Drosophila melanogaster: one gene and its partners. Changing the gene in region 1 together with any one later gene gives a genetic interaction. Each region holds a gene or a part of one and is shown in the gene's direction. Other genes may lie near its edges.

Evidence for each region.
Region 2: of Dis3l2 (region 1) and Tailor, changing one enhances a phenotype caused by changing the other (phenotypic enhancement), as found in Drosophila melanogaster (one study listed by BioGRID).
Region 3: of Dis3l2 (region 1) and pcm, changing one suppresses a phenotype caused by changing the other (phenotypic suppression), as found in Drosophila melanogaster (one study listed by BioGRID).

Annotation. Positions count from the first base shown.
Region 1 is NT_037436.4:210,902-217,008, forward strand, and holds Dis3l2 (Dis3 like 3'-5' exoribonuclease 2), read left to right. Parts: upstream 1-1,807; 5' UTR 1,808-1,848; coding exon 1,849-1,883; exon of another isoform or gene 1,884-1,942; coding exon 1,943-3,075; intron 3,076-3,130; coding exon 3,131-4,550; intron 4,551-4,603; coding exon 4,604-4,723; intron 4,724-4,781; coding exon 4,782-5,208; 3' UTR 5,209-5,578; downstream 5,579-6,107. Other genes in the region: Prp4k (Pre-mRNA processing factor 4 kinase), read right to left, coding at 1-318, 391-407; thoc7, read right to left, coding at 797-1,478, 1,544-1,658, 1,717-1,786.
Region 2 is NT_033777.3:7,082,725-7,088,074, reverse strand, and holds Tailor (tailor), read left to right. Parts: upstream 1-1,991; 5' UTR 1,992-2,094; coding exon 2,095-2,193; exon of another isoform or gene 2,194-2,415; intron 2,416-2,511; exon of another isoform or gene 2,512-2,562; coding exon 2,563-2,661; intron 2,662-2,717; coding exon 2,718-3,150; intron 3,151-3,307; coding exon 3,308-3,541; intron 3,542-3,593; coding exon 3,594-3,700; intron 3,701-3,756; coding exon 3,757-3,892; intron 3,893-3,950; coding exon 3,951-4,127; intron 4,128-4,183; coding exon 4,184-4,385; intron 4,386-4,488; coding exon 4,489-4,693; 3' UTR 4,694-4,850; downstream 4,851-5,350. Other genes in the region: alphaTub84B (alpha-Tubulin at 84B), read right to left, coding at 1-841, 1,331-1,333; Dpck (Dephospho-CoA kinase), read right to left, coding at 4,932-5,238, 5,310-5,350. UniProt on the Drosophila melanogaster protein: Uridylyltransferase which mediates terminal uridylation of miRNAs, leading to their degradation. Has high specificity for splicing-derived miRNAs (mirtrons) and other miRNA substrates containing a 3'-G terminal nucleotide.
Region 3 is NC_004354.4:19,486,012-19,493,597, reverse strand, and holds the start of pcm (pacman), read left to right. Parts: upstream 1-1,586; 5' UTR 1,587-1,784; coding exon 1,785-1,859; intron 1,860-1,918; coding exon 1,919-3,013; intron 3,014-3,082; coding exon 3,083-3,391; intron 3,392-3,648; coding exon 3,649-4,113; intron 4,114-4,187; coding exon 4,188-4,456; intron 4,457-4,539; coding exon 4,540-4,859; intron 4,860-4,912; coding exon 4,913-5,806; intron 5,807-5,885; coding exon 5,886-6,466; intron 6,467-6,530; coding exon 6,531-7,193; intron 7,194-7,256; coding exon 7,257-7,337; intron 7,338-7,405; coding exon 7,406-7,495; 3' UTR 7,496-7,586. Other genes in the region: CG12204 (uncharacterized protein), read left to right, coding at 1-190; ND-18 (NADH dehydrogenase (ubiquinone) 18 kDa subunit), read right to left, coding at 361-541, 601-921, 1,012-1,061.

The DNA of each region.
Region 1 (6,107 bases):
CTCGGATCCGTCGGAAGCAGGGGTTTGCCGACACGGAAATCGGCTCCATTCCGGCTGGCCTTCTGCATGATTTCTGTGAACTTGCTGCTCAGCCCGCAATTTTGTGATAGCTTTAACTTTGCGTTTTCCGGGGCGTCCGATTCGTTTGTGGATTCGCTTGTTCGGTGGGGGCGCTTTTTTGCCTTCTTCTGCTTCTTGTGGACATGCCTGTCCTTCTCGGTCTTGCCAGTCGAGGATTTTTTATGTTTTTTGTGCTTTTTAGCCTTTTTGTGCTTGGCCCGACGCTCTTCGGTCTCGCTGTTGTTGCTGGAGTCGTAGCTATTCGGTACAAGAGGGGAGCAGCCCAGGTCAATACACACACGTGCGGTCGGCTTAGTAAAATTAACCTACCTTTTGTCGTCAGCCATTATTTGATTGTTTAACAATGTAAACTGCAGATGCGCGCACACTGTGCGTTCATAAGGTGTGCGGTAATTCTGCAGATGGCTAATGAAACTTGTAATTTTCCTCTTATTGTATTCTTCCTCTTCGTAGCTTTTTTAGTGTGACTGCACGCCGGACAAAAGTAAATACGTTTTAAAAATACCTCCTGGGATTTCGGAATTATTTCTAGTATATATGCAAGTAAAATAAAAATATATTAAAATTAAATTTTATAACCCTTAAATATCGTCTTTGGCGCAAGTCTAAATTGGAAATAAAAACGAAGGAATTTCGAAACAACAGTTGAATTTGTATATTATAGTTCATGACATTTTATTTTTTTGTTTTTATTGTACATGCTAGCGCTTCTAACCTAATTGGCAACAGCTACATCCACGTCGTGCTCATCTTTGTCGATGCTTAGCTCAAGCACCGTGTCCTCTTCTACGGACATGGCTTTAGAGTCCTCAGTAGAGACTGAGTGATATTTGGGCTCGCCGCGGGCTCCGTCGAACTTTGTGGGAGTGCTATTGTTGAGATCGTCGTCTTCATCGCTTACCTCCATGATCCCATTGTCGTCTAGGTCCGGCTCAGAGCGGGCATCGCAATCGCTGGACGAGGAGGATGCCGAGGATGAGCTGTCCTGGTCCAGCTGCTGTTCCAGCTCGTGAATCGTGTACATCAGCAAAGTGAAGTCATTGCGTCGTTTCTGAAACTTGCGCTCCATCTTTAGCTTCTTTTGCACCAAGTCGTCAATCTCCCTCCTAATGGTCTCAATATGTCGCTGTGTTTCACTGCGGTCCGGTTGGTCCTGGATGAGCGAGGCCAGCAGGTCGTACTCCATCTTGTTCTTGCGAATCTGCTTGGCAGTGATTAGCTCTTTTTTACTGGATTCGATTTCCGCTTTAGCCAAAACAATACTTTCTTCGTGGTGTTCAACTAGTTGTGTGTAGTTGTCACGCTCACCGGCGATCATCTGCAGAGTTTGTACATTCTTTAACGCAGTGAGCTTGCACTGGGCGAATTGGGCCATCAGTCGGTCGTACATGATGGGACTGTAATTCGGAAAAGAGGAGATATGTACACCATGTTTTGAATACACACATATCCAATTTCTTACTTGCTGTCCAGCGAGTCACTGGCCCACTTCAAGAACTGTTTCAGCAACACTACTATTCTCCGATCCTCTCCAGTTCCATCCCCGTCAATCAGCAGGCGCTGCTTTATGATTTCTTCTGGAAGATCAGTTTAAATATCTATTCCCAAATGCGAAAATAAACAAAAACAACTTACCGTCATTCATCTCCACTAATTTCCGAACTAGCGTATCGGAGTGTGGCCGAAGCTGACACTGCTCCGACATACCACGCAGTACGGTCCTACTGTACTTGTCCTATCATTTTAATTTGGAGAAAGTATTGAATTATGCCTTACCCTTTATATCCCGCCCATAGCCAAGTGTAGTGCCGTACACTTTCGGACATCAGCGAATCCCATTAACTAAGTGCACTTCTTGCAGAATGTCGGAAACGTCAAGCGTCAACGTGGATGCGGACCGAGATTGCAGAAGGATTGAGGGCCTCCGACAGCGCTCACAACGCCTTGCTGCCCGCCTCCAGCAGATGCAGAGGGAAATGGAGTCTAATGCATCCAGCAAAGACCTATCGGCCAACAATGCCGTTATTCCGCTGCAGCCACTAATGCGCTGGGCGGAACCACGGCCACATCCCAACCAATCCCAACCATCTGCTCGGAGCAACAGCAGGCAGGCCATTCCTTACGGTGTGCCAGTATCCACGCCAGCGCCGGTAGCTATGCAATTGCCCTACCACGTAGCATTCGCCTCCTACCAGGCGACCATGCAGATTCCCTGCCTTCAGCCACTTTCGCATTTGCACGTCGTGTCTAGTCCCAGCCATCGGTTAATAGCGAAAAAGAAGTCGAAGCGGGCTCTTCGAAATGAGGTGGAAGCTCTTCAGGATATGGTCAAACATCTTTCACACCTCTCCCCAGATGTTAACGCGTATGCCTGCCAGCTGATACGTAAAAACGAGATCCTTTCTCAGCTCGAGTGGAGTCAGACCAGGTCAGAAGCACATCCGCAACAGGTTGGTTACCAGGGGCGGCATCGCCACGATTCTGAGGTCTCTGCTACAAACAATGGAAGTCATGTACAGCAGCAACCGAAACTAGGACGAAGGCAACGCAATAGCAAGAAAAACGATGGATCCGGTAGCAATGGGACCCAATCGCAAAAAACCGAACTAGAGGCCATGCGGTCGTACATAAACAAGATTGTCCAACGTCACGTGGGTATGGATCACCAGTTGTCGGAAGACTTGATTTTCAAAGGTAACTTCTCCGACCTGGAAGCGCATGCGCAGAGACTAGTTGCGGCGGGTTATGGGCGCATTGTAGAAGAGGAAATCCGGGTTAACCGCAAGAACAACAGACAGGCCTTTATAATCATGTCCACTGATCGAGAAGCACTCGAACGAGATGGCATCGTGCTCTTGCCAGTGGCTAGGCGCTATGCCTTCGATGGTGACAAAGTACGTGCATTCGTGCTAAACCCTGGTGCTCAGGGTAGTTCAAAGACAGCTGAGCCCTCGTCTGGTGAAATCTCTGGTGGGAAGCCCTCATTATCTCTTGGTAAGTTTATCGGCAAACTTATAATACTTTCGACTGATGATAATATCCTATAAAGCGGATGGTGAGGAGCTTTCGGACGATACCGAGTCCCAGGGCTCTGAGTCCGATACCGACAACGTGGTCGTGATATCGTCGGACAACTGCCCTAAAGCGTTCGTCATAGCAATAACTAAACGAACTGAGCTCCGCCAGATCGTGGGAACCATATCGTTTACGAACCCAACCAAACTCTGTGACGACCAGCTATTCTACAAATTCCGACCGTACGATTTGCGTGTCCCCATGGTCTACGTTCCGAAGGATGCCTGTGCCGCCCACATCGGAAACAAGCAGCAAATAGACGTGTCCGGCCTCTTATACCTTGCCCATATACTCGAGACAGATTGCAATGGGCACTGCATCGCTGAACTAATCCAGCCGGTTGGCCGCGTGGGTAATTTGGATGACGAACTTAAGGCAATTCTGTTTCATAACGGTCTCCGGGATATAAAGCCATTTGAGCAACGATTTATCGACATTTACTCCCAGCCGCCACCTCCGATAAGCCAAGAGGATCTGCGTCAACGAAAAGACTTAAGAAAGATGTGCATATTTACTATAGATCCGATGACTGCTCGCGATTTGGATGACGCCGTTTCTATAGAGAAGCTAGGCGACAACGAATATGAGATTGGCGTCCATATATCCGATGTTTCGCACTTCCTGATAGAGGACAATGAACTGGATAACATAGTGAAGGAACGCTCTACGTCTATTTATTTAGCCAACGAGGTAATCCACATGCTGCCTCAGTCTCTATGCATGCGATGTTCCCTGCTCCCTGGGCAAGACAAGTTTGCTTTTTCCGTCTTCTGGCGGATGAACGGGAAGGGAGTCATGCTGCAAAAGAAGCCAGAATTTTGCCGCACAGTCATTAACTCTTGCTCGCAATTTGCTTATGAACACGCTCAAAAGATCATCGACAACCCTAATGAACGGTTTACCGAGAACGACTTTCCGACCATCCTGAATGGATTTAATCCCGATGATATCAGAAATAGGGTGCTATGGCTGCACGACATTGCAAGCTCCATCCGTAAGACACGTTTAGACAATGGCGCACTCACAATTAACAATGCCAAGCTACGCTTCCTGCTCGATCCAATTACTGGCGAGCCGTTGTCTTTTGAAGTGGAGAAACAGCGAGAGGCTAACCGGCTGATTGAAGAGTTTATGCTCCTGGCCAACCAGGCAGTCGCCCGCTTTATACACGACTCCTTTCCGGATATCGCTGTACTGCGTAACCACCCTCCGCCACTTATTAAGTCCCTTAAGGCTTTAAGGGAAAAGCTGCTTGCTCTGGGATTCGAATTGGACTATAGCTCGTCTAAGGCGCTCCAGGAGAGCATGGTGCGGTTGTGCAATGAGGCGCCCAATCCTGTCGCAATGAATGCCTGCCTAAGTCAGCTTTTGATGAAACCAATGGCCCGTGCAACGTGAGTGTCTCAGTTTTCAAATAATTACTCTTCCCACAATTTCCCCCCTTTAGATATTTTTGTAGCGAGGGTAAATCGGAACCGGCTGACCTGTGGCACTACGCCTTGTCCATACCCATATACACTCACTTTACTAGCCCAATCCGTCGGTATCCTGATATTTTGGTGCACCGGTAACTGTCACTTACCTTGGAAGTTCGCCTCCCGTACTTAAAATTTCCTCCACTCTAGACTTTTGGCGGCCGCACTTAAATATTGTACACCGCCTAAACGTACCCCAGATGATTTGCACACCTTAACGAAATTAGCGAATGAGCGCAAGTACAATGCGAAAAAGGCCGGAGAGGACTCTGGTAACTTGTACTTCAAACGATATGTTCACAACAAGCAGGGCATATACATGCGAGCTGTGGTCATTGAAATATTTCAGCATATGATGAACGTAGTTACTCTGGAGTCGGGCCACGTTATAAGCATTAACTACAAAATGCAAAAGGTCCTCGTAGACACACACGGCGTACCCAATTACATTCTTATTGCCGAGCGCAACTTAAAGCAGTCACCTAGGAAGTTGCAGCTGCTTTCCGTGGTCCCCATATGTCTGATCATTTGGGACCAAAAACTAACTGGATTTTTAAAGATGGAAGAACAAATTTAGGAAAAAAAGGAGCAGACGAGCAGATGTAATTCTTCGCATAGGAACAACCCAAAGCAACTGCACCGTATTTTTTCAATAAGCCAAAAAAGTTTATAACTACACACAGAGGGAACATCAATTTTGTTTAAGAGATTCCTTCTGTTTCAGTGTCGTTAAATGAAAAATCAAAAAAATCGAAAAATACTTGTTAGTCCAAACTCACTTTTTTGAACCACATTGTGGGTCCGAGCTTTATGCTTGACAAAAATTGACTCTGTGATGCTTCCTTTTTCGGTTTGCATATCATAATAAGCTTGTAAAAATGTATGTACATATGTGCTATGTAAAATCAAGGCTTAACTGCTTATCAATAAAACAATCAAGTTAACCGAAAATGATTTGGATCATGCTGACAAATGTTAATCGAAAATAAAGGTCAATTGGGGTCATTGGCGATAATGTTAACGGCGAAAGTTTAAAGCATGAGGTTTTTTAAATTAAATTTGCATTGACGCAGAAGTATCGTCTGAAATGTCTAGATTCGGAATATTTGTTAGGCTGTCCAGGTCGTATAATCACCGATTGCAGCTGACGATTTTTTTAAGGCATTTTCCTGCTGTTAGTTGGACTTATTCAAAGCCACCCTCATCCGATAATATAAGAAAACTACAGTCTAGGCTCCAATGCACGCAATCCTGCCTAACCACCCCTGAGTACAATCCCGTCTGGAGTAGTGATATGGTGAGCTACGACAATAAAAGCAAATTGAACTGCGCAATCAAGTGCGGGTTAAGTAAGTACACACACAATATCTGCACAAGTCTCCAGATCGGATCGTTCTAAAACTACATCCACTTGTATCGTTGTAAAACTACATCCATGTCTAATCTAAACCGGCCCGGACGAGTACGCTAGTTATC
Region 2 (5,350 bases), on another chromosome or scaffold:
AGGCCTTCTCGGCGGAGATAACGGGGGCGTAGGTCACCAGAGGGAAGTGAATACGTGGGTAGGGCACCAAGTTGGTCTGGAACTCAGTCAGATCCACGTTAAGGGCACCATCGAATCGCAGAGAGGCGGTAATCGAGGACACGATCTGGCCAATCAGACGGTTCAGGTTGGTGTACGTGGGGCGCTCAATGTCCAGATTGCGGCGGCAGATGTCGTAGATAGCCTCGTTGTCGACCATGAAGGCGCAGTCGGAATGCTCCAGGGTGGTGTGGGTGGTCAGGATGGAGTTGTAGGGCTCGACCACGGCAGTGGACACCTGGGGGGCTGGGTAGATGGCGAACTCCAGCTTGGACTTCTTGCCGTAGTCCACGGAGAGACGCTCCATCAGCAGCGAGGTGAAGCCGGAGCCGGTACCTCCACCGAACGAGTGGAAGATGAGGAAGCCCTGCAGACCGGTGCACTGATCGGCCAGCTTGCGGATCCTGTCCAGAACCAGATCGACGATCTCCTTGCCGATGGTGTAGTGGCCACGGGCGTAGTTGTTGGCCGCATCCTCCTTACCAGTGATCAGCTGCTCGGGGTGGAACAGCTGACGGTAGGTTCCGGTACGGACCTCATCGACCACAGTGGGTTCCAGATCCACAAACACGGCGCGGGGCACGTGCTTGCCAGCTCCAGTCTCGCTGAAGAAGGTGTTGAACGAGTCATCACCTCCGCCCACGGTCTTGTCAGACGGCATCTGGCCATCGGGCTGGATGCCGTGCTCCAAGCAGTAGAGCTCCCAGCAGGCGTTTCCAATCTGGACACCAGCCTGACCAACATGGATAGAGATACATTCACGCTGTGGATGAGGAGGAAGGGAAAACGGATGATTAGTTACACACCCCAAGAAAATCGATAATTGCAGAGCCGCGCCCAACTTGAGCCGGCACTGCGTGCGAGTGAGAGAGGTAGCTAAATGGTATACTGATTTTTTTGCTCTACTTTGCCGACGCCGGAATTTTACTCTCTCGCCATTTTCTCTTTAATTCTATCCAAAATCTACAGTTATGCGTCGAAGTATCATGGTAACCGAATTTAGAATTTTTAAGATTAATGAAGCGTTCCAGCAGCATAGAAATAATGAATATTTTTTTTATCTAGATTTTAAGAGCCATTCCTCATTGCGAACAAAAAAAAAAAACAGGCATGACGTCATCACTTTTGAGGAAAAAACGCAGGCCGGCCGCCATTTTGAGAAAAAGCCGCATCGCGTTTTTGCCCATTGAATTTTGCCCACACAAATTTCTTTTCAGCATTATTTCACTAGATTTTTTTTTAAAGTACTCACCATATTGAGTTTTTATTGGAAGTGTTTCACACGCGACAAGGAAAATTCACAGAATTGTGTAGAGCTACGATTTCGAGGTCTGACTCAGAGAGCGTATACGTTCGAACTGCCGGCTATGAGGCTTGACAAACGTAAAACGAATATGAAATGTGGAAAGCGGGCTGCTTTATATAGGCACCGGAGCTAGAGACGGCAAGCTGTCGACTTAAACGCCGCATAACCGATAACTGAAGTGGGAGAGGTAATGGCACTTGGTCTCTCTAAAACTTGCTGCGGTATTTTGCAGGACTAGTTGGGACTCGAACCAGGGCGTGAATCTTTGCTTGCCCAACCGGTAGACCTAACCGGTTGCTAAAGTGGGCCAACATTAATAATATTTTTGTTGAATGTTTCATAAAAGCTATTTTAATATAAATTCGCATCGTTACCGATTCAATAAGGTTTAGTAAATCATTATATTTCTGACTCCATATTGATTTCCAACAGCAAATTAATTAACTCCATAACTTCCCCTCTCCCTTTGGAGCAAAGGATGTAGTTAATATCTTAACATCTAAACTTGTTTTGTTTTTTTATTCAAATAGGAGTTATATTAAATAGAAATGTAAAAAACAAAGCAGGTTTTAAGAAAATGATGTCAGGAGATTTTGAACTCCTACTCATGGTCACTCTAATCGCAGTCTGCAATTTACGTGTTTCCAACTTAACGCCCCCAAGTTAATAGCCGTAATCATTTGAAAAGAAAGGCACGCACGCACAACGCCATGCGGATCGAACCTGGGGACTCCTTTTGGACGAAAAAGGCGATGTTTTCCAACGCAGAAAGGCAGTACTTTGAGACGGTCCGTCCGCGGAAGACCAGTGTGAGTAAAAGTTGACCGTCGATGGCGATTTCACAAGTGACGTTTAAGTGGCGGGAACTTCTACTCACAAATCCCTGAGCCCTGTGATATGATTTATTTTATGGAGCCGTGATCCGGACGAAAAATGCACACACATTTCTACAAAAATATGTACATCGCGGTGCGATTGTGTCGCTTAAAGCACACGTACACCCACTGTCACACTCACACTCACATGCATACACCGCCGGCGAACTTTGGTGTAGTTGGCCACCCTACGAAATTCAACCGCTTCGATTCGAATTTTCGAATCAACAGTTATTGGCAGTCGAACAAAGGCGGCAAACTTTCGAGTTGCAGAAAAGTTAACGCATTCGATTAACCTTTCAGCTTCCGGGCTCCACCGCGCCCAACATAGCCGCTCCGGTAACAAAGGCCACGAAGAAGAATAAGACGATGGCCGAGATGATGCCAAACAAACTGCTTTACGTGAGTACGAGTTTGTATCATTCGAATTTTTAGACTAAAGCCCGCTGATCGTGCAGATGAATCCGCTTACCATGGAGGCACACTTCTTTCTGCAGACCCTAAACTCAGTGAACCAGACGACGAATCCGCCGCAGCTAGACCCGCACCTGGCCAACCTGCTGGAGCGCATTATGGTGGGCATCGAGAGCTACTTGGACAGGAATCCCACATACGTTTTGCCGCAGGAGATGGCCGCACCGGGTGAGGGCGTGGCCTTCGTCCAGCCCCAGGAGCTGCAGACAATAAAGCGAACATTCAGCTGTAGTTCCTGCAGCAACCGCATAGTGGGCACCACCATCGCAAAAGCTGTGGCCCACCTTTCGGAGCAGCATCCAAAACCCAATCCCAACAATCAGCCAGTCCAGCCGCATCCGACGCATCAGACGAAACAGGAGAAAAAGCAGGCCCAGGTGAAGGCTCGTCAGCATATAACAGTACGGCTACCCAAGAGTAGGTCACCATTTCATTTCATTTACTTACGCAGAAGTGCAGTCTAAAAATTGTGGTCTGACTACTTGTAAATGTTAGATTGATAAAGCCTCAATACTTTGATTAATATGTTTTCTTTAGAGCCAGCGATATTTTATAAATACTTTTTACATTGCAGAGGCCAGGGCAATGATTGTGGGAGAGATTACGAATGTGTTTAAGGACAAATACCCAATAGCGGACAAGTTAAAGGTGATTCCCGAGTACGACGTTATCGAACAGGACCTGTGCAAGCTTTTGTCGCCGGGCTTTCCCAAACAACCACTGCGAGTCTACAAGTTCGGGTCCCGCATCACAGGCATTGGAAATCGATCCTCGGACCTGGACCTCTTCGTCGACATCGGTAAGTCGGGTTAGTACTGCATTGAGCTCCTACCAATTTCACCTGGCTTCTGAATTGGCAGGCAACACATTTCACACGTTCGAGCATCGAGCTTCCAACGCTACCGTCGCCAAGCTGCGGGCTATGAGGAAGTTCTTCTGCGACAGCGAGGACTGGCGTCTTATTAATGTGAGCTGTGTCCCTAAGCAATACGTTCGTTTTTACCATTGCACTTTCTTCAACAGTTCATCGAACAGGCTCGCGTGCCCATCATCAAGACGTGCCACTTACCAACCGGTATCGAGTGCGACATTTGTCTGAACAGCATGGGCTTTTGCAATACAAATCTGCTCAAATACATATTTGAGTCACAGCCACTGAGTAAGCACATGCTGCCGGATAGAGTCCATGTTATCTTTTTGCATTCGCTCCCTTGCAGCTCAATATATGTGCATATATGTAAAGAACTGGCTGGAGCGCTGCAAGCTAACTGAACAAATATCGACGTACAGCATTACACTGATGGTGATTTACTTCCTGCAGCTCCAGGCCCTGCTGCCCCCCATTGCCATGCTGCAGATAGAGGATGCAGCCAATCAGGCCGTGCTCGTGGGTCGTAAGTACATCGTCGGTTTCTTGGGGGGATTCACCAAGTAAGTCGTCTCTTTACAGCGTGGGTTGTCAACTTTGCACAAAAATCGTTTAGCGAACTGGGACTGCAGCAATTAAAGGCGACCGTCCCCGTCATCAAGGGCTTCCTTCGAAACTTCTTTGCGTATTTCGCCAAATTTGACTACGAGCATTTCTTGGTCTGCCCATATATAGGTCAGGCTAATGTTGAAATCGCGAAGATTGAGAGGATGCTGCATGCTAGGTGAGAATATTAATTGCTTAACTTTAAGCCCTTTAAATATGTAATGCTATATAGAAATTACAAAAAAAAAAAAAAAAAAAAAAAAAACTTTCCCTGCTACTAGGTATTCAGCATATGTGTCGGACAACCCTGAATGCTCGATCCAGCTGAAAAAACCGATGGTGGTACAGGATCCCATACAACTAAACCACAATGTAACGAAAGCGGTGACCAAATATGGACTGCAGACGTTCGTTGACTACTGCCAGCAGACGGCGGAGCTGCTTGAGGAACCTTCCACCAATTGGCGTCAGCGCTATGCATTTTAAAGAAATCCCCCTCGATTATCTGTCCCTGCATCCAATCTCAAGGCACTTCCGTTTATGGTCTGTTAGGCTTCTACCTTGTGAGCGCGACACCAATGTAGGTTTGTTCAGACTGTTAATTAAAGGCGATTGTCACGTTTCGGCAATATATTTCACTAACAAGCTTTTAAATTGTATAATTGGTTTGGTATCATTTGCATTAACACATAAAGTGACCTCGTATGGCACGCACAGACACGGACTACATCTGCCAGGACTCGGGCAGCCGGTTGAACACCTTCAGCAGCATATATATTGTGAAGCCCACGATTAGGAACAGCCCCAGGAAGCTGATGCGGTTCAGCCAGTGCTGCTTGGAGTCGCGCATCAGGTTGTAAATGCTCATGGCCGAGCTCTCCGCCTCCTCCACGCTCCCGTTATTGTCAATGACGAAGTGAGACTTCTCGCACTTCTTGTCCAGCGGCATTTGTGAATCGACGCGATGCCGGGCTTCCGATTCCGAGAGCTCATTGCGGGCTATTAATCGCTCCAGCTGCTTGTCCGAGTCGCTGCAATATGGGGGGATGCAGTTAAAGCCAGCTACACTTTGACACCTAGCATTCAAGAGCTATTAACCTACCAGGTTACACAGACGATCTTGTGTATAAAGTCCATCAGCAC
Region 3 (7,586 bases), on another chromosome or scaffold:
GGACCGAGGACAGCGACAAGAGCATCGGGACTGGCGCAACGAGCGCAGAGATTGGTACCAGCATCATGATGACAGCCGGAAGAGAAGCCGCAGTCCGAGCAGGCATCGACATGGCGATAGGCGTCGGGAGGAGCGAGAGCCACGCGAGAAGCAGCACAATAGGCATCGCTCCCAAACCGCTCGTCATTAGAGCGGCATGTGATGGTGCCGCTTCCATTGGCAGCGAAACTGGTGGCCATTACATGGTGCTGTGGTCATTTGAGTCCAGCCGACTGTTTATTTGGGTACTCAGATAATGAACAAAGCAAAAAAAAAATCAGATAATTGTGGTCTATAATCCTGGCTAGCTGCGGGGAGCGTCTACTTGGTGGAGACGCGCGTGCGCTTGTTCCAGGCAAAGTTGATGCCGTAGTTCTTGACGCGCTCCTTCTTGGGCTTCGCGGCGCCGTCGACGTACCAGCGCCATCCGTTCCGTTCGCAGAACGTGATGGCCTCCTCTGGGGATCCGAACTGCACGTTCATGTTGGACAATGGGTCGCCGCTGGAACACGAGACGTTGACCAAGGTTGCCATGGCATGGTGGACGTGCCAGCTACTCACCTGGAGGCCCAGCCCATGAGCGGATTCTCCCAGCGCTCGCGGTTGTCGAACTCGATTTGCCAGGTGTTCACGTTATCGGTGCCGCTCTGCATTGCGTTCTTGGGCGGAATATGGATGCGCACACGGCGCTCCCGAATGTGCTCCTCCGGAACGCCGCTGATCGGGCTGAGATTGACGGCAGTCGGCACGGTGATCTTGCCACTCAGCTTGTTGCGCTGCTCCAGCTCTTCGGGGCGGGCCAGGGCCGTCTTGGGGTCCAGCGGACCGCCGTCCGTGGCGGTGGATGCCCAGCGGGCAGCGGCTGCCCTGTTGGCCTGGTACCTGCGGTGTCAAGATGCGAAAGTGGATAATTAGAGGGCTGCAGATTTGCCAGGTCGGATGCACTTGCTCCGGCCAGGCGGGGGTACCTACAGCTGCAGGGAGGCGGTGCTTCTGCACATCACTTGGCGGAGGGCCGACATTTCGCTAGGCGTTTGGGGCTACACGGCAGAAATCGGCTTCAAAATACGAATTACGTAAAATTTGGAACACAAGCGCTTTTCGATTGGGAAAACAGCTGTTCGCCAGTGCCAGTGTGACCAGGCGAGCGGTGAGTGTTTTTATTCTAATTGGAAACAGTGTGGCCCCTCGCCTTGGATGCGATGCCACAATAGTTCAAAAACAGTTTTCTTCTTTTTCACTTCGAACTTCGCAAAAACTATGAAATGCTGTTCAAGTGGTAAAATGAACTTTAAAATGAAAATGAATGAAATGAAATACACTGATGATGAACTAGAGAAGTAACTAGAACTAAAACTATGCTATTTGTAAGCCAACTGTTTAAATGATGAGCATTGCATTTGCCCAGTGCTGCCAGATATGTAGGTGTTCTTAGCTCCTTTTAGCTTAATTTCACCATTAGCTGATTATTGGCAAAGGAGCCCGTTTCGCTTATCGATTCTAATATCGATTTGAATCGGTCAGGGTCCTTATTCTTTCAGTTATTCATCGAACTGCGGAATGCCGCCGGCCCTACCACATGGCAATAGCGAAACGTTGTGGCAACGCCTCGCCTACTTGCAACTTTTGTGTCAATCAATACATGTTGAAAACAGATAAAGACACAAATTTTTCAGTTCATCTAAATTGCCACTGATCCAGGCAGAACAGCACGGCGGCAGAACAGTCCCATCCAGAACAGCGACATGGGCGTTCCCAAGTTCTTTCGCTACATCAGCGAGCGATATCCGTGCCTCAGCGAATTGGCGCGGGAGCACTGCGTAAGTAAAGCTGCTAGGTCACGTTATATGTTGCCATGCACCGTACGGTTCCTTTGCAGATACCCGAGTTCGACAATCTGTACTTGGACATGAACGGCATTGTCCACAACTGCTCGCATCCGGACGACAACAACATACACTTTCACCTGGAGGAGGAGCAGATATTCCAGGAAATCTTCAACTACGTAGACAAGCTGTTCTACCTGATCAAGCCGCAGCGCCTCTTCTTCCTTTCAGTTGACGGGGTGGCTCCACGGGCCAAGATGAACCAGCAGCGCAGCCGGCGATTCCGGACGGCGCGCGAGGCGGAGCAGCAGGAGGCCAAGGCGGCCCAGCGAGGCGAGTTGCGAGAGCACGAGCGCTTCGACAGCAACTGCATTACGCCGGGCACCGAATTCATGGTGCGTCTGCAGGAGGGACTGCGCGCCTTTCTCAAAACGAAGATTTCGACGGATCCGCTGTGGCAGCGTTGCACCGTAATCCTAAGTGGCCAGGAGGCGCCCGGCGAGGGCGAGCACAAGATCATGGACTACATTCGGTACATGAAGACGCAGCCGGACTATGATCCCAATACACGACACTGCCTTTACGGCCTGGACGCCGATCTGATCATTCTGGGCCTCTGCACCCACGAGCTGCACTTCGTGGTGCTGCGCGAGGAGGTCAAGTTCGGGCGCAACGTCAAGCGCACCTCGGTGGAGGAGACGCGCTTCTTCCTGCTGCACCTGGGTCTGCTGCGCGAGTACCTCGAGCTGGAGTTCGACGCCCTGAGAACAGACGAGCACAAATTGGACATTGCGCAGCTTATCGACGACTGGGTGCTGATGGGCTTTTTGGTCGGCAACGACTTCATTCCCCACCTGCCGTGCCTGCACATTTCATCAAATGCACTGCCGCTGCTCTACCGCACCTACATCGGCATTTACCCGACCCTCGGCGGCAACATCAACGAGAACGGCAAGCTCAACCTGCGCCGCTTGCAGATTTTCATATCGGCCCTCACCGAGGTGGAGCTGGATCACTTCAAGGAGCACGCCGACGACTTGAAGTACATGAACAACAAATCAGAGGCGTTCGACATGGACGTCGGCGAGATCACCGAGTCTCAAAACCTCGACTCCGATCTCGGAGCCCTCATCAACAAGAGCATGCTGGTATGAACTCTCTGCACTGACCGCCATCCCGTCATTTCCGTCCGCTCAATGCCGCCTTCCCATCCACAGCTCTACGATGACGACAGCGAGGAGGACTGCTCCGACGAGAACGCGGTTCTTCTGAAGGAGTTCCAGAACTACAAGCGAAACTTCTACCGCAACAAGTTCAAGCGTGATCCGAATGATGAACTGATCGAGGAACTGTGCCACCACTACGTCAATGCGCTGCAGTGGGTGCTCGACTACTACTACCGTGGCGTGCAGTCCTGGGACTGGTACTATCCCTTCCACTACACTCCATTCATCAGCGACCTCAAGAACATCGAGCAGGTGGAGATCGCCTTCCACATGGGCACGCCCTTTCTGCCATTCCAGCAGGTGAGCTGAGCACATTTAGTTAGCACCGATAACTTTCCTAGCATCAGGCTTACCATTTCTTAAACATAAACCAGAGCCACCAATTTAGACTATCATTTGCGTATCTCCTTTCTAACATATATCTATCTCCCTCTAATCCAATGGTGGTGCTAGATCATTTGGTTAAAGCAATCTTCTCAACCAAATTATCCATGTATCCATATATCTGCACACATACTAGATTTACTTAAGCCATCTGTCCAATCTTTCATATAAAGCTTCTGGCGGTACTGCCGGCGGCCAGTGCAAAGCTTCTCCCTGTCGCCTACCACGACCTCATGCTGCTGCCGACCAGCCCGCTGGCCGAGTTCTATCCACTGGAGTTCGAGAGCGACCTCAATGGCAAGAAACACGATTGGGAGGCGGTTGTGCTGATACCCTTCATCGATGAGGGTCGGCTGCTGGCCGCTATGCTGCCATGCGAGGCTCAGCTGTCGCTGGAGGAGCGCGAACGCAACCGACACGGTCCCATGTATGTGTACAAATACAGTACGGTGGCGCAGGGTCCCATGCCAGCGTATCCACCGCTGAGGGCTCTTCCCGTGCTCTACTGCACGGAGGTGGCCAAGTGGTCGCACGAAATCGCAGTCAATCTGCCGTACAGCGTGTGCATCGAGCTACCAAATGCGGCGAGAACCGTTTTCTTCCCGGGATTTCCCACCATGCAGCATCTGCCCTTCGATGTGAGTGACGCCGGGACACATGCATAACGCTCGCCATGTCCGCCATGTCTAATATGCTTGCTATTCTTTTCCAGTTCGAGCTGCGCAACGACCGCGTCAAGGTGTTCGAACAGGTCAGTCGCAACCAGAACATTGTGCTAAAACCACGCAAGCGCCAGCTGGAGGACACACTGACGGCGGTGGCCTCCCAGTACCTCGGGAAGGTGATCCACGTCGGCTGGCCGCATCTCGTCAAGGCGATAGTGGTGCGCGTGGCCACGCGAGATCAGCGCGTCGACAGCGAGGGAATCACGCTAAACGATTCGCGGCGTTTCGACTCGGAATGCAAGGCACTGCAGGAACAGTTGAGTGTGAAGCCGCCGTCTGGCCCTGCATTCACACTGCTAATGCTCCATCTTCCCTTTCCTCCTTCTCCTCCCACGACAGCTTTATCAATCGTATGGGAATACAGTTTGCCAACTATGATGTGCTCGTCTATGTGCGCACCTTTGCCGGCAATTCGACGGAGTTCCGCGACAAGGGGGCATTGATGGTGCGCGACTCGTGGAGCAGCTCCGTCACCGGCTATCCAGCCCAGGGCGTGGTGGCCGATCTGACTGTGTGGGAAAGAATGCGCAAGAATTTCCTCAACGTGGAGCACTACTTCCCCGTTGGCAGCACGATCTTCTTGATCACGGATCCGTATTACGGCAGCGAGGGAACTGTGCAGGACCCACGGCTGGCCTACACCAACGGCCGGATTCAAGGTAAGTTCGTCTCGCCATGTCCTTGACACCCCATCATCATTTCATCTCTGCAGTCAGCATCATGGTGCGACCGGAACCGAAAGTAAATGCGGCACGTCAGCTGCAGGAAGAGCGGGACCGGGACTATCTGAGCACCTTCCAGGTCTGCAACTTGCTCCGAATCAGTGGCCGCACCCTGGGACGCCTAAGTGGCACCGTGTGGGTGGTGCTCGGTCCGCGGCGTCAGAAGATGGAAAACGTGACCAAGCACAACATTGGCCTGCAGCTCAAGTATCCGCGGCAGAACGAGGAGCGTGCCGGATACTGCTTCCGCACGAACAACCAGTGGTACTACTCCAGCCTGGCCGTGGATCTGATGCGCAACTATTGCCAGCGTTACCCAGACGTTATCGACTTCTTTGGCGACTCCAACGATCGCGCCGAGTTCGTATTCGAACAGGACGTGTTCCCCAATGCGGTTGGCCATCGCCGCGTCGAGGAACTGGCCAACTGGGTGCGCCAGCAGCCGCACATGAAAGTGGAGCGCATCTCTTGCGGCTCCAAGACGGTCTGCCGCGAGACCATCGAACTGCTGATAGCCGCCGTCGACGACCTGCGCTCACTGCCCGTCAAGCACGTTAAACTGCAGGTGAAGCCGCACTTGCTCATCAAGCCCAATGTCACACTGCCAGATGTCTACCGATCAAAGCGCCCGGTGCGTCTCTTCGATCGCGTCGTAATCGTACGCACCATTTACATGGTGCCCGTGGGCACTAAGGGCACCGTGATTGGCATTCATCCCGTTACGGACCCCAACCCGGTCCGCCTGGAGTGCGTCCATGCTGTCGACACGTTCTGCAAGGTGCTGTTCGACAGCCCCGTTCCGAACTGCAACAACATCCATGGCATCGCCGAAGACCGAGTTTACAAGGTGCCCGAAATTGCCCTGGTGATCATCAAGACGGATGGTAAGTGGATTTGGCTGCATAGCCTACAGAATCGGAGGAGGCACATACATAGCAATGCTCCCACTTCCTCTCCTTGCAGAGGAAGGAAAGAAGCAGAACGACTGCGAACTGCCGGTGAGGGATCCTCAGCCGAACCAGGCACAGGACGAGCCAGTCCGCGCGACCAGCAGTCGCTATGTGACCGCCGCAGGGTCCACCTCGGTCCCGATCACGATGAAGACCCAAATTAGCGACGAATTCGTCAAGACGCGTAGCGATCCGATAGCCCGTACGGATTCGTACAAGCCATCGTCGGAGCCAAAACCGGTGCCGGTGCCGGAGCAGATTACCAACTGGCGGGAACGCGTCAGTACGCCAACAAACAAACCGCAGCCTGCGCCAAATAATTGGCGCATAAATCGGTCTTCATCACGTCAACAGGGCGGTAGTATTTTTGTTGCTCCGCCCACAAAAACTCCTGATGCAGCTGCAAGCACTGCTTCCACTGCATTCACCGCAGCCTCGTCCGCAACGCTGACTCCTCTGGATCAGACCTTGGCGCTCATGTCGGTTTTGGGCGTGGGTGAGGACCAGAGCTCGCCGCCACTCCAGGAGGCGGTGCAGCAGCAACGTCCGCCACTACTTCAACAGCAAAGAGCTCCGTTTCCCGGACAAATGCCCGTAACTGCTTTCAGCCCAGATGTGCCACCCAACCATGTGTTCACATAACTACTTTTCATTGCAGAATCTACCCAAGCCACCGCTCTTCTGGCAGCAAGAGGCGCAGAAGCAGGAGGCGCTGCAGCAGGAGGCGCAGCAGCAGGAGGCGCAGAAGAAGCAGCAGCAGGCGCATGCGCAAATGGAGCCTGAACGTATCAATAGCCAGCATTTCTACAGAAGCGGCCAGACAGGAGCGGCGTTGAATCAGCCGCCATTGGGTGCTCCATCAAAAAGGCAGTGGCATGAGTGGGTGCACCCGCGCATGCAGCACGCCAACGCATTCCACGCTGGCGTCAACAATGGATATCAGATGCGTCCCAAAAAGAATATAGCTGCGCAGAGCACCTTTAACAACAACGTGCACATGCACCTCCAGCAACCATATTACCCGAATCAGCAGCAGCAGCAGCAGCAGCAGCAGCCACTCCAGCTGACGGAGATCAACAATGCGCCACCGCGATACTCAACGATCCAAGATTTTGTGCCCATACAGGCGTACCGTCCCAAGAAATTAAATCGCGTCCAACCAGCCGGTCGTCAGGACGTCGATGCCACCAAGAATCCTAGTCGTTCGCCTGTGTTGCAGCAACCGACGAACGAGACTATAGACACAAAGGCCAGTTCTAGTCTTCCGGTACAATCAGCAGGCGAACAGGTGATTGGACTGATGCAAACGCTTGAAATTAAGGTAAGCATTGGCTACAAGTCAAAGCCTTGATTACCGAACTAATGCTTTCCTCTCGGCCGACAGCAGCCGGCTGCGTCGCAGTCCGAATCTGATGGGGTCTCAACAGGCAGTGCGAACGCGCCCACAGCAACGACATCATCCCAGGTAATGGAGGAGATAGAGATAGTTATTCTGCATAATTTACTCATTCCATTTACTCGCTTCTGTTGCAGGCGGTCAACCGAAGGAAGCATCGAGTGCCTCGCATCGGAGCCAAGTTCGACTTGGAATACATACTGCCCGACTCCCCGCATCCAACTTAAGAGCGAACAAATGGGTATTTTTAGGTTCAAATCCCACCTAGCTGAAGAAATGCAACGCTATTTGGATCTTATATCACCTTATTTCTATCTC